Linked DNA regions of Daphnia pulex. Each later gene encodes a partner of the first gene's protein in a complex. Links are inferred from orthologs where the notes say so. Each region holds a gene or a part of one and is shown in the gene's direction. Other genes may lie near its edges. The genes, in order: nuclear pore complex protein Nup214-like, PCI domain-containing protein 2-like and nuclear pore complex protein Nup85-like.

The links.
Region 2: nuclear pore complex protein Nup214-like (region 1) and PCI domain-containing protein 2-like share a complex: the UniProt entries of both Drosophila melanogaster proteins name them as parts of the nuclear pore complex. The link is inferred for Daphnia pulex from reciprocal best matches to the Drosophila melanogaster genes Nup214 and PCID2.
Region 3: nuclear pore complex protein Nup214-like (region 1) and nuclear pore complex protein Nup85-like share a complex: the UniProt entries of both Drosophila melanogaster proteins name them as parts of the nuclear pore complex. The link is inferred for Daphnia pulex from reciprocal best matches to the Drosophila melanogaster genes Nup214 and Nup75.

Annotation. Positions count from the first base shown.
Region 1 is NC_060027.1:5,448,654-5,452,407, reverse strand, and holds the start of nuclear pore complex protein Nup214-like, read left to right. Parts: upstream 1-1,110; 5' UTR 1,111-1,262; coding exon 1,263-1,295; intron 1,296-1,360; coding exon 1,361-1,699; intron 1,700-1,756; coding exon 1,757-1,947; intron 1,948-2,005; coding exon 2,006-2,314; intron 2,315-2,370; coding exon 2,371-3,574; intron 3,575-3,640; coding exon 3,641-3,754. UniProt on the Drosophila melanogaster protein: Part of the nuclear pore complex. Serves as a docking site in the receptor-mediated import of substrates across the nuclear pore complex including emb, RanGAP and phosphorylated Mad. Protects mbo/Nup88 from proteasomal degradation at the nuclear pore.
Region 2 is NC_060025.1:7,986,150-7,989,578, forward strand, and holds PCI domain-containing protein 2-like, read left to right. Parts: upstream 1-902; 5' UTR 903-1,076; coding exon 1,077-1,112; intron 1,113-1,187; coding exon 1,188-1,229; intron 1,230-1,307; coding exon 1,308-1,429; intron 1,430-1,491; coding exon 1,492-1,758; intron 1,759-1,823; coding exon 1,824-2,041; intron 2,042-2,103; coding exon 2,104-2,204; intron 2,205-2,285; coding exon 2,286-2,485; intron 2,486-2,553; coding exon 2,554-2,651; intron 2,652-2,715; coding exon 2,716-2,831; 3' UTR 2,832-2,908; downstream 2,909-3,429. Other genes in the region: threonine synthase-like 2, read right to left, coding at 3,083-3,284, 3,366-3,429. UniProt on the Drosophila melanogaster protein: Required for the export of nuclear mRNAs and involved in mRNA trafficking in the cytoplasm.
Region 3 is NC_060023.1:4,665,815-4,669,568, forward strand, and holds the start of nuclear pore complex protein Nup85-like, read left to right. Parts: upstream 1-1,365; 5' UTR 1,366-1,507; coding exon 1,508-1,522; intron 1,523-1,584; coding exon 1,585-1,693; intron 1,694-1,750; coding exon 1,751-2,337; intron 2,338-2,407; coding exon 2,408-2,530; intron 2,531-2,643; coding exon 2,644-2,862; intron 2,863-2,989; coding exon 2,990-3,627; intron 3,628-3,699; coding exon 3,700-3,754. Other genes in the region: rRNA methyltransferase 2, mitochondrial-like, read right to left, coding at 95-355, 427-544, 609-657, 726-865, 973-1,133. UniProt on the Drosophila melanogaster protein: Component of the nuclear pore complex (NPC) that seems to be required for NPC assembly and maintenance. Required for nuclear import of phosphorylated Mad via importin msk.

The DNA of each region.
Region 1 (3,754 bases):
AACTAAAACTTGGTAAATAGGAATTCTGGTCTTCGATAGAAGGCGTGGGTTCAAATCCCACTTCTGACAATCATTATTACAAGGAAATATTTTTGGATGGCACGACGGAGAAACAAGCTGCATACAAACCAGCTTCCTACCCTAGCCCAGCCTATCCTTTCGTACTCCTCATACAAACCTCTGCATACAAGCCCGCATCCATATCTCCGGCTTATCCGAACTACCAAGTAAATATCATATCCTGGCTTCTTGCTATAATTGATACAAATAAAGAAATAAAAGTTTTAAATAAACGATTAGTCAGAGTTTACTAGCAGTAATCTTTTTTCTCCCTGCGTCGCTTAAAAATGAATTTATGCGCTACGGCCGTATGGCGTCGCTGTGTCGCTGTTTCTGAATCTGATCAAATTAAACCAATAATTGTTTATTTGAATAGAAAATTTAAAAAAAAATAATTCCATCTTTTGCGGACTGATAAAGAAAAGGGATCGAGATGAATGAACTACACACAGGTTGGGATGAGGAAGTGAGTCGGATCTAAAGTTTGTCCTAGTTGGATATTCTTTGTCTAATTATGCTAGACTAAGGTTACATGAATTATCATCCAATTGAATCTCTTGAAAAATAATAATGTCCAATCGAGCCAGATTTGAGCAGACCGACCAGAATGTGTAGCCTAATAGATAAGGTGCCAGTTTATCTTACTTATAGATGTTAAGTTATTTAGAAGTTAAGTTAAGTTAATTTTGTTTGTTAATTAGTTCAAAGAGAGACTATTTGCCGTATAAAGAGACCGTGCACCACGATCAGATTTATCGTATATTATATAGTCCCTATTTGTAAATTTATTCCTCGAATATGATTCGTTTGATCGAATGTTTATTGTTTAATCGTTTTGAACAGGGTTTTCAATGAACCAAGTTGATGAAAATATTGTATCTTGCAATTTGGTTGACGTATCACGTAAGCCTTCCCTTTTGAATATCTTAACTCCACTATAGCCCCAAAAGTGATCAGAATTGGAAACACTACCCCTCAGCCCCTACCCTTTCAAAAAAAAGAACCGCGAGTTATTACAATTTAAAAAAATTCAAATTGCTTTGATAGATGGCGTTCACTTGTCACAAGCAGACAGGCAGTGAGGCACTCAAACAGTTAGACATTTCATAAAATTTCGACCGGCTTTGGCTTTGCAACAAAATAAGGTTGAAAGTGCGGTGTGATTTTCTATCCGAATATTACATTGATTATTGAAACTGATAATGGCAAACGTTCCTGATCCTGTTGAAGTCTTGGTAATTTTAAAATACATTTTTTTATTGTTTTCTTTCAATTCAACCAATCTAACTTGTAACAACAGGACTTCAAAATGAAACAGCTGTGTAAGTTTAGAGTCACTAAAAAGGAATATGATGTACAGGACACCACATCATTGCTGGCTACTTCTAATTTGTTTGGTCTGATCTTTGTTGGGACACCTGACAAACTTGTTGTCATCAAAGTTTCAGATCTTATACAAATTGACAATACAACATCAAAAAAATCAGAAATATCATCATTTCCCATCAAGGAAATTCTTTTACCCAACAAACCTAGTTTTGTAACACTGAGCTCTGATAATCTTACCTTAATGGTGTGCCTTCAAAAATCTGGATGCTCAGTAGGTTGGATGTATGATGTTCGTGGATTTGCAAGACAGGTATGATTTAAGGAATTTCATTTTGTGTGATTGAAACAGATTTAAAATCTTTTTCAGTCAGGTGAATGGAATCCCTTCCAGGAAGTCAGGCTTTCGTCTACTGATGGAGTTACTGTGAAAGATTGTGCGTGGAACCCTGTTATACCAACTCTAGTAGCTGTCTGTCTTAGTGATGGCTCTTTAGTTGCAGTGGAGATCAACAACACTCAATTCACTATAAATAGCCTTCCATCAAGTACAGGAGCCCAGTATGTGAATATCCTATTTTGTATGTATGTTATTTTCTTAATTTTATTGAATTATTAGGTCAGTCTGTTGGAGTCCCAAAGGAAAACAGCTAGTTGTGGCCAGGCCTAGTAAACTAGTTCAGTATAAGCCTGATTTAAAGGAAGCCAAGACTATAGCGTTTAGTGGTAGCGATGTCCATATGACTCAGCCAATGGTTTGTGGACTTCAGTGGCTTTCTACAACTCAGTTCCTTGTAACGTTTGTTGATCAAAATGAACCCAATTCTCGTCCCCACCTCTACATAGTCAACGTACAAAAATCGGGGGCAACAACTTTCATAGATTATGACGATGTTTGCTACGGAAGTCCGTCTGAAAGACCACACAGGTATACGAATTTTTTTCATTTTATTATCAATATAATGAATTTTGTTTCTTTTTTAGTTATCTAACATTGAGTTTATCCCCATGGAATGTGTTATTGGCTTGTTCAGCTAACGCAATAGAAGTTGCCGTACTAGCTCAAACAGGAGCTGGAGATGCTGATCACCCTGAATGGAGGCAATGGGCACTAGAAGGTGAATGGCGAGCTGAACTACCATTAAATGAGAATGCTGAGACTAACCCGTTGGGAATGGCCATCGATACCACTAGCCAAATTCCAATCAGTTGGGATGACAATCAAACTTTACCGCCCGCACCCATTCTTTTCATACTCAGCACTCATGGTCTGCTTTGCCCGTTTCATGTTATCAATCTAAAGAACGGTGCTGCCAAATTCAATCAGGCTCCTCAAGAATTGTCGGTCACTGGTGAGAGACCAGCGCTTAGTGGAATTGGTCTCAAGGCGGCTCCATTAGCAGCTTCCACTCCATTACCTGCTGCTGGTAAAATTGCATTTCCTAGAACAAATCTTGGAGAACGATTTGCTGCATTTGCGGATGCTCCTTCCTTAGCAGTCCCAGTTACAACGAAATTACCTTCAAATCCGCCTATTTCGGACTCGTTTTTGGGCAACAAACCCCAACTTCAACCTGCCTTACCTTCAGTGACGAAAGTTGCAACTGCACCTGTTGTACCAGCTGTGAAGATAGAAGCGGTTCCGGTTGTCCCGAAAGCTACTCCACTTACTGTCAAACTTACAAGTCAAACTCCAATCGCAGATGAATCTAACATCCATTCATCCATGGGCGCTGCCGCTGCAATATTACGTGACGAAGTGGCCAAATTCGTTCAAGACTTGAAGGAATTCAAAGCTCGTTCGTTGACTTTGAAAGTTACGATCGCGAGTGATGAGGAGAAAGAACGATTGTTAAAGATGACATCCGATCTGGCTGAGTTTGGTGTGGATCTGGTCGATACTACCAAAGTGCAAGACGAAGAAGTTCGAGGCTTGTGCACTGATTTGGTAGAAGTTGCCGCCCTTTTGGAAGATGCCCGTGTTCGACGTGCTCGTCGCAAAAATTCTCATTTCTGTCATTTGCTCAAGTTACGGCCTCTAGATCCAGGCAATCGCAGAAAAATGGACGGCATTGAGCGCTTGCACGTTCACATAGAACAGCAGCTTATAGAAGCTTCACGAAGCCTAGATTCGATTAGCAGAGACCGTACTAGAGACACCCGCAAAATTGAAATCCCAATAACTCAGGTAAGCTTGTTTTATTATTATTATTACTCTAAAATATTCAGCATCCTATGATTTATTTCATCTCAGGTTATTTATGAAGCAATTAGAAACAATACGAAAGTAATATCACAGTTAAAATCTCGTGTTGAACGAATTATGGTTCAGAGCAAAGAACAGCAACTGAAACTCGCCGGTGCAGCC
Region 2 (3,429 bases), on another chromosome or scaffold:
GAGCAATACGGAAATTATCCAGCCGAAAATCTAGAAGGGAAATATTTAAATTGGACCTTTGAAAATCCGTGTGCGAACGTATGGAAACGAAGTTTCCCTCCTACTATTTGCACACGTGATGCACTATATTTAATTGACTGTCAAAATAGGGCCACTGGGGCTCGTTGTCGACTAAAAGCGAATGATACAAAAGAAAAACTAGTAGTCAGGGGAGGCCGAAATAAGAATAGATCGGAAGTAGAAAAAGAGGGGGGAGAGAATGGAAACACGAGTGGTTCGGTCCACTCTTAAAGTAGAGCTGATTATTATTGACCATTCGCTGCTGATGCTGCTGTATCTTTTTTTACAGGGTTTAGCGTAAACCCGCCTATATACACACACACTGCAGTGTGTGTGGACTGCCCGCTGAGCGGCTAATCTATGTACTCAAGAGTTTTAAGCCATTTTGACATGTTTGTTCACTCTCTCTCTTCATACTTCTTAGTGAGGTATGAAATCATCTTAGACTGGCGCCACGCTTTTTAATTAGTCTGTCCAGGAGGTAGTTGATCCTTGTTTTTTTTTTTTTTACTTGGAACTCCTCTGTGCAATTTATATGTTATTGGAATCCCGACTCAATGTTTTATACATTTATACAGTACAGTCCTGCGTCAATTGTTTTGTTGGATTAAATCACATGCATTATCTCAGTTGTTGGATATGCATGATATGGAACCAGTTCTTTCTCAACTCATTCTATTTATGTTTATGTTGCGGCATGTTCAGTCGTAAAATAATATAATTCTTATTTTACTTTGTGGTTTTTCCTCCCTTTCGAGATCGAAAAACTTTGATAACAAGCGCGGCGTAAAATTTGAAATTGTAAATATGTAATTCAACTTGTTACCGCTAGATGACGTAAGAGTTTCTAGCAGACGAAGAGCTGAGGAACAATTCGAAAGCGACCGGTCGGCGTGATTATTGAAATTTTCTGTCAAATAATATCCAATTGTGTTTCGCCAAAATTAGATTTCTGTAAGCCACCGATGTCCAGTTTTAAGTTAGTCTCGAAAAATCATTTCTAAGACACTAAAAAAATGGCTAACTTGAATTTGAATCAATATTTACGTGAGGTAACACAGCGCGTCACAAACAGAATGCATTGTTTACACATCTTTAGTTGATTGTTTTTATTTAAACTATTTTAGATTCAATCTTCATGGCAATCTCGAAGTGGAACTGAAGTTTCAGTAAGAAATTCAAAATTAAATTTCTTGTAAAATCATGCTCATGCAATACTTCACGTCTTCTTATTTTGAAACCTTTAGGAACTCCTGTCATTCAATCACCCACATGTTATGAGCTCCAAACTTATTTTGGAGGGATTTGAAAAGTCTGTTGAAAGAATCGTGGAAGCTCCTTTTGATGAGATTGTTGTCCTTCATCTCAGGTATACAGTTGAACTTTCATCAATTTTAAATTTTGGTTTCAACTTTCAATTTTACCATCTAGATGCTTAAGCTATATCAACCAGCAAAAGTATTTAGAAGCATACTCTGAGCAAAGTGCTTTGGTACAGGCGTTTACAAAGCTCTTTCAGACACAGAAGGAAGACAACTGGGCTTTATTCATCATGTATGTCATAAGTTTAGATTTGCGTATGTTTGCAATCAAAGCAGACAAAGAATTGGCCAAAAAAGGAGCAGACAAACCAGGACAAACACTTGAAAAGGCTGCAGAGTGCCTCATGGGACTTTTTAGAGTGTGTGCTGCTGACAAGTAAGAAATAACATTTTGCGACTTATGTAGTAACTAGGTACTCATTCTTTTGTTTGAATTTACAGTCGGTCATCTGATGAAGATACAAAACGCTGGGGAATGCTGTATTTGGTCAACCAGCTGTTGAAAATCTACTTTAGAATAAACAAATTGCATCTTTGTAAGGCTCTTATTCGCGCAATTGATGCCTCCCAGTTCAAGGACCAGTTCTCCCTCAGCCAACAAGTGACTTACCGATACTATGTCGGCAGAAAGGCCATTTTCGAAAGTGATTTCAAAAGCGGTGAGCAGAGTAACATAAATTTCTAAAAGATAATCAATTCTTATATTTAATTTCGCATTTAGCTGAGAAATATTTATCCTACGCGTTTGAGCGGTGTCACAAGAACTGCCGCGCCAACAAACGACTGATTTTAATCTACCTGATTCCCGTCAAAATGCTTTTGGTATGACTTTCATTTGTTGTGTACACATAATGCGATGGAAAACGGAAGGAAGATGCTTAACGTATTACATTTCATTTAAAGGGTCATCTTCCTACAACCCAATTGCTGAGAAAGTATGACCTTCTACAGTTTAGCGAAGTGGTGCAAGCTGTTAGGGAGGGTAATCTCCGGAGACTCAACAATGCCCTTCTTCAACACGATGCCTTTTTCATTCGCTGCGGTGTTTATTTGATTCTTGAAAAGTTAAAAGTCACCACCTACAGAAACTTGTTTAAGAAAGTGTAAGGGATTTTATTGTTGGTGTTGAAAGATGAGCCGACATGATTTCTTTTGAATTTATAATTTTCAGAACTTTGCTCATGAAAACTCATCAAATCCCGATCGAAGCCTATCTTGAGGCCTTAAAATTCATGGGAGTTGAAGACATAGACTTGGACGAGACGCAATGTATAGTGTTACATAAATTAATGTGGCTTTTATAGAATTTGATCCATTTCTTTTTATAACGCAGGTATCATTGCAAACCTCATCTTTGAGAACAAAATCAAAGGGTACATTTCCAACAGCCACAACAAGCTGGTAATCAGCAAGCAGAATGCGTTCCCATCGCTGGCTGCTATCGTATAAGTTGGATCTAATATCTCTTACACACACCTGTTTTCGCGACTAATTGAAACAAAATAATAAATTTCTTATTGAACGAATTGTTTCTTGCTTCCTATTTTTGTATTAAGTAATAGTTTTAGCTGTTTTCTTGTTTCAAAGTCTTACATATTTGTGTTAGGTTTCACCTGACTACGCTATTCTACACCAAAACTGAGTGAATCTCAGGTAAATATTCAAATTTGTTTGTGACGATATTCAACGGTTTTTTCCCCCTAAATCTTAAGGATGATATCTTTTAATTGACTTGTCCAATCGTGGCCCTTTAGGAAGACGTGTCGGGGTGTACAAATTTCGGTATCCATTTTTAATCTCTCCACTCTATGGTGTGTCGACTTGTCCAATCCTGCCGCTTCACAGGCCTCGGGGAATTTCGCCGGTGATGCCGTAGCTAGACAAACGAATACCTGTTTTCCCCTACAAACCAATAAAGGTGACCGGAAGAAACTCATTAAACCGGATCAAGTACATGGGGAGAGAACAAAAATAAATACTCACCTCTGATCTACGTTGAAACAGTAGGAGACTGCCGTTGCAGTGTGGGGACAAATAACATAATTGT
Region 3 (3,754 bases), on another chromosome or scaffold:
CAGTGATGTAACTAAGGTGAATTGAATACATGGATGAAGCAAAATTTCAGTAGACTTCAATGTGAATAAAGCAAAGTAAGTAGTTAAATAATTACTATGTATTTTTCTTGAAATTACTAGCTAGTATAAACATTTCAGCTGAATCCTGTCTACTACTAGGTGGTTTCACAACTTTGACTTGAGAATAGTGTAATGCAATCTCATTCTCCAGTTGTTTGATTCTTCCTCCTGCCCATAATTTTATCAATAGCGTAGCTCCGTCCATAGAGATTTGTTGCGCGTAACGCAGCACTGAATATGCTAATTCTAATATCCTATCTTGATCCAAATCTCGTATACCCGATGCTGCAGGAGCCTAAATTTAATTAGCAAATATTAATTGAAATAATTTAAGGTAAAAAAAAACTGAAATAAAATCAGCCCTACCATATCACTTAGGACTGCATTAGCAAGTTGCCCACCAAGTATTTCTGTTATTCTGGTCTGGGACAAACTTTTTGTGAAATCTAATGGAGCCAAGATTACAGCTCCTTCAATTGGGTACCTGAAAGAATAAAATTGAATAATGTTAGTGAACTAAGGGTACCAAAACTTTGCAGCCCTTTTACATTGGTTGAAGATCAACTGCTACATGCTTTCCTTTAAGCTGAGAAGACACTGCATGAAATCCATAAACATTCTAGTGTCATTTTAATTAGGCTAAATAGTTAAACAATTCAATCTACCTTTTCCTGTTGCATTAATTCGTTTTACACATACTTGTGTCCAAGCACCAGGTGCAGCGCCACATTCTACAACCACATCTCCAGGTTTAAGGAATTTGTGTTTGTCATCAATTTCAATCAATTTAAAGGCACTTCTAGCTCTTTCTTGGTTAATAAGAAGTAGTAAATATTAGACAACAATTAAACTGAAGCTATAGCCTGTTAATTGAAAATATTGAAATCATAATTTTTATTTGAAAATTACTACCTATAATTTTCCATTTTGGCTTTAAGAACATACTCGTCATTCATTTGCCGAGTTAGCCATTCTTGAGAACTTTTACTGCGGCCCTTTAGCCGATCGGGCACTTTTTTAAAGCATGTTGAAGACGAACAAAACTGTCTTACTGAACAAACGGCAATGTTCATAGCAAAAACTTTGTTGAAACGGATATTTTAATATGGATCAAATAAATTCTTCAGGTGAAAAGCGATAAACAACTTGAAAGTATTAATGAAACAGCAATATAACATCACCTAATAAGATCAAGTAGACTATGATATTTTGTCAACAAACAAGCAGCCACGAAAATTGAAATTTCCGCTATCGACATTCGGCAGCACAGGTCATAGTTACCGCCGTAACCATGGCCATTGCAGTATGGTGTAAAACCGAAGCAGCAGACGACAGATTAGAAATATTTCAAAAAAGTACTCGTTACGAGTTCTGACTGTTAGTTGAAATCCTTCTGAATCCTACACACAATTACGATTTGTGACGTGATTTTCACGCATTTTACAGAATGCTTGAACCTATTGTAATAATAATTTCGAATTGTTCATGGTATACATATTTGTAACCAAACTTTCTTTGTTTTAGGGAATACAAGATCCTCTATTTGCATACAACAAAGATGTTGGGCATTCTTGGGGTTATGGTAACAGCTTGGCTGTATTTCCAACAGAATTTTCCAAGTCGATCACCTCTGGTAAGTTCTTTCTGGAAGTTAGCCAAAAAACTCCTACTAAGTTTTTCTCAATGACAGGTCCAGTTAGTCCCCAGACTTGTAAGAAGAAGCTTTATACAATTTCTTGGGAGCGAACCTTGTACAATCCTTTTGTTCGCAAGCTGGTCAATGAATCCTGTGGAGCATTTACTTCTTTACAAATTAAGGCTGGCACAGATGGCCAAATCAGCTCATCTGAGTTAATTAAATCCAGTCATCAGTATCGTTGTATAATGAATGCATGCATTGAAGATTTGAACCAAGCAGCAGATCTTGCTAACAGTGTTGAATCTAATCAAGCACTTCAAGAAATGAGTGAAATATTTTACAAAGCTGAGTTGGTGTGGAATTTGTGTGAAATTCTGTATCTTGAGAACCCACTTGGAATTCTGCCACACCTATTAGAATGGATTCGTATTCATTTTCCAAATGCAGTAGAAGAAACTGGTACAGTTTTAGCATCACCAAATCCTGGACTCCATGAAAGCTATTGGAAAGCTCTCTATGGACTAGTGTTTCAGTTACGCTTAGAAAGTGCTACCAAACTGTTAAGAATTCATCCTGATTTCCAGAGTGAAGCTTTTCAGAGTGCATATGAGTTGCTGAAGAAAATGCCAGTCTTTAGTGTAAGAAAGTTCTTGTAATTTAGATAGATTAACAATTTTTCTATCTCCTAAGTATTTCTGTTCTATTTAGGCCAACTCAACTGTTTCTGCTCCAGAGTTTACCTTCAGATGGAATCATTGGAAAGAAGAATGTGAGGCTCGCACTCAAGCTGGAGATTTCTTCGAATCAAAAGATTTAGAACTTCTAATGGAGGTATATAATGTTTTATATATAATGATCTCTTAATTCCCATTTTTATTTTCATTAGTTTATGTTGTATGTCTTTTGTCTAACTTACATAAACTTTCTATTTACTTACGATAAAGATACTATGTGGCAAAGAAGAAGCATTTGAAAAAGTTGGCGATCATTTCGAAACTTGGTATCAACGAATGATTACTCAGTTAACGTTCACGCAACCCACAATTGGAACGTTATCTTTGGGAGATGAAGCCGAACAGTTTTTTGCTTCCTTAATCGGATTAGATGATTTGACGTCACTAGATGCAACACTTTTGGCCGTTCTTCGTCGCGACACGCGTAAAGTGAGTATCGCTGTTATCAATGGATAAGAGTTTTAAGCAAGTTTGATAAGAGTTCATGCAAGTATCAAGACACTACCAACATAATTAACTGGAAACGTTTTATATCTGTTCAAATTTGTTGTCACAGGTGATTGGAGAAATGCAAGGAGTATTGGATAATTCTTGGTTTACGGCACATCTCGCTGATTTATTGTATCACGCCGGAGCACTTCAGTCGTTCGAAGACATTAACTCACTACAGCTGAGAGAAACTTTGCTTCGTGACTACTCGATTTGCTTATTTAGCCACCAATCCTTGTGGTCGGTTGGTGTTCTCTATCTTGACCATTGCCCTAATGTTGGTTCTGCGACTCTGGAACACTTGCTCACTCGACTTCCGTGCCAGTCGGAAATGAAGGCAACCAAAATAATTTCACTTGCCGAGCGAAGAAAACTAACATCAGTGGTAACTTCCGTCTGTCGTGTAATGGGTCGACGGGCCTTGGCCAATGGACGACTTGGTGCGGCAGTCGCTTGGGCTGTTAAGGCGCAAGACGCTCCTCTTGCTACCTATGCCGCCGATGCTGTTCTGAAGAGTTACCTTCAAGATTCAGATTTTACTTCGACGGACTTGCTAGACTCACTGGGTGCTGGACTTCTTGCCAGCGATCGATTGGCTTTCCTTGGGAAATATCGCGAGTTTCATCGTCTTTACAATTCAAACGATTTTCATTCAGCAGCTGGCCTTTTGATCTCTTTAATCTCATCACGGATTGCACCGAAATAGTAAGTAGCCTAACCACTAACCATGTTATCATAATTGCAGCTGCCTAATAATTATTGAAATTTCGTTTTCAGCTTTTGGACCGTTTTGCTCATGGACGCACTACCATTATTAGAAACAAATCCGCCA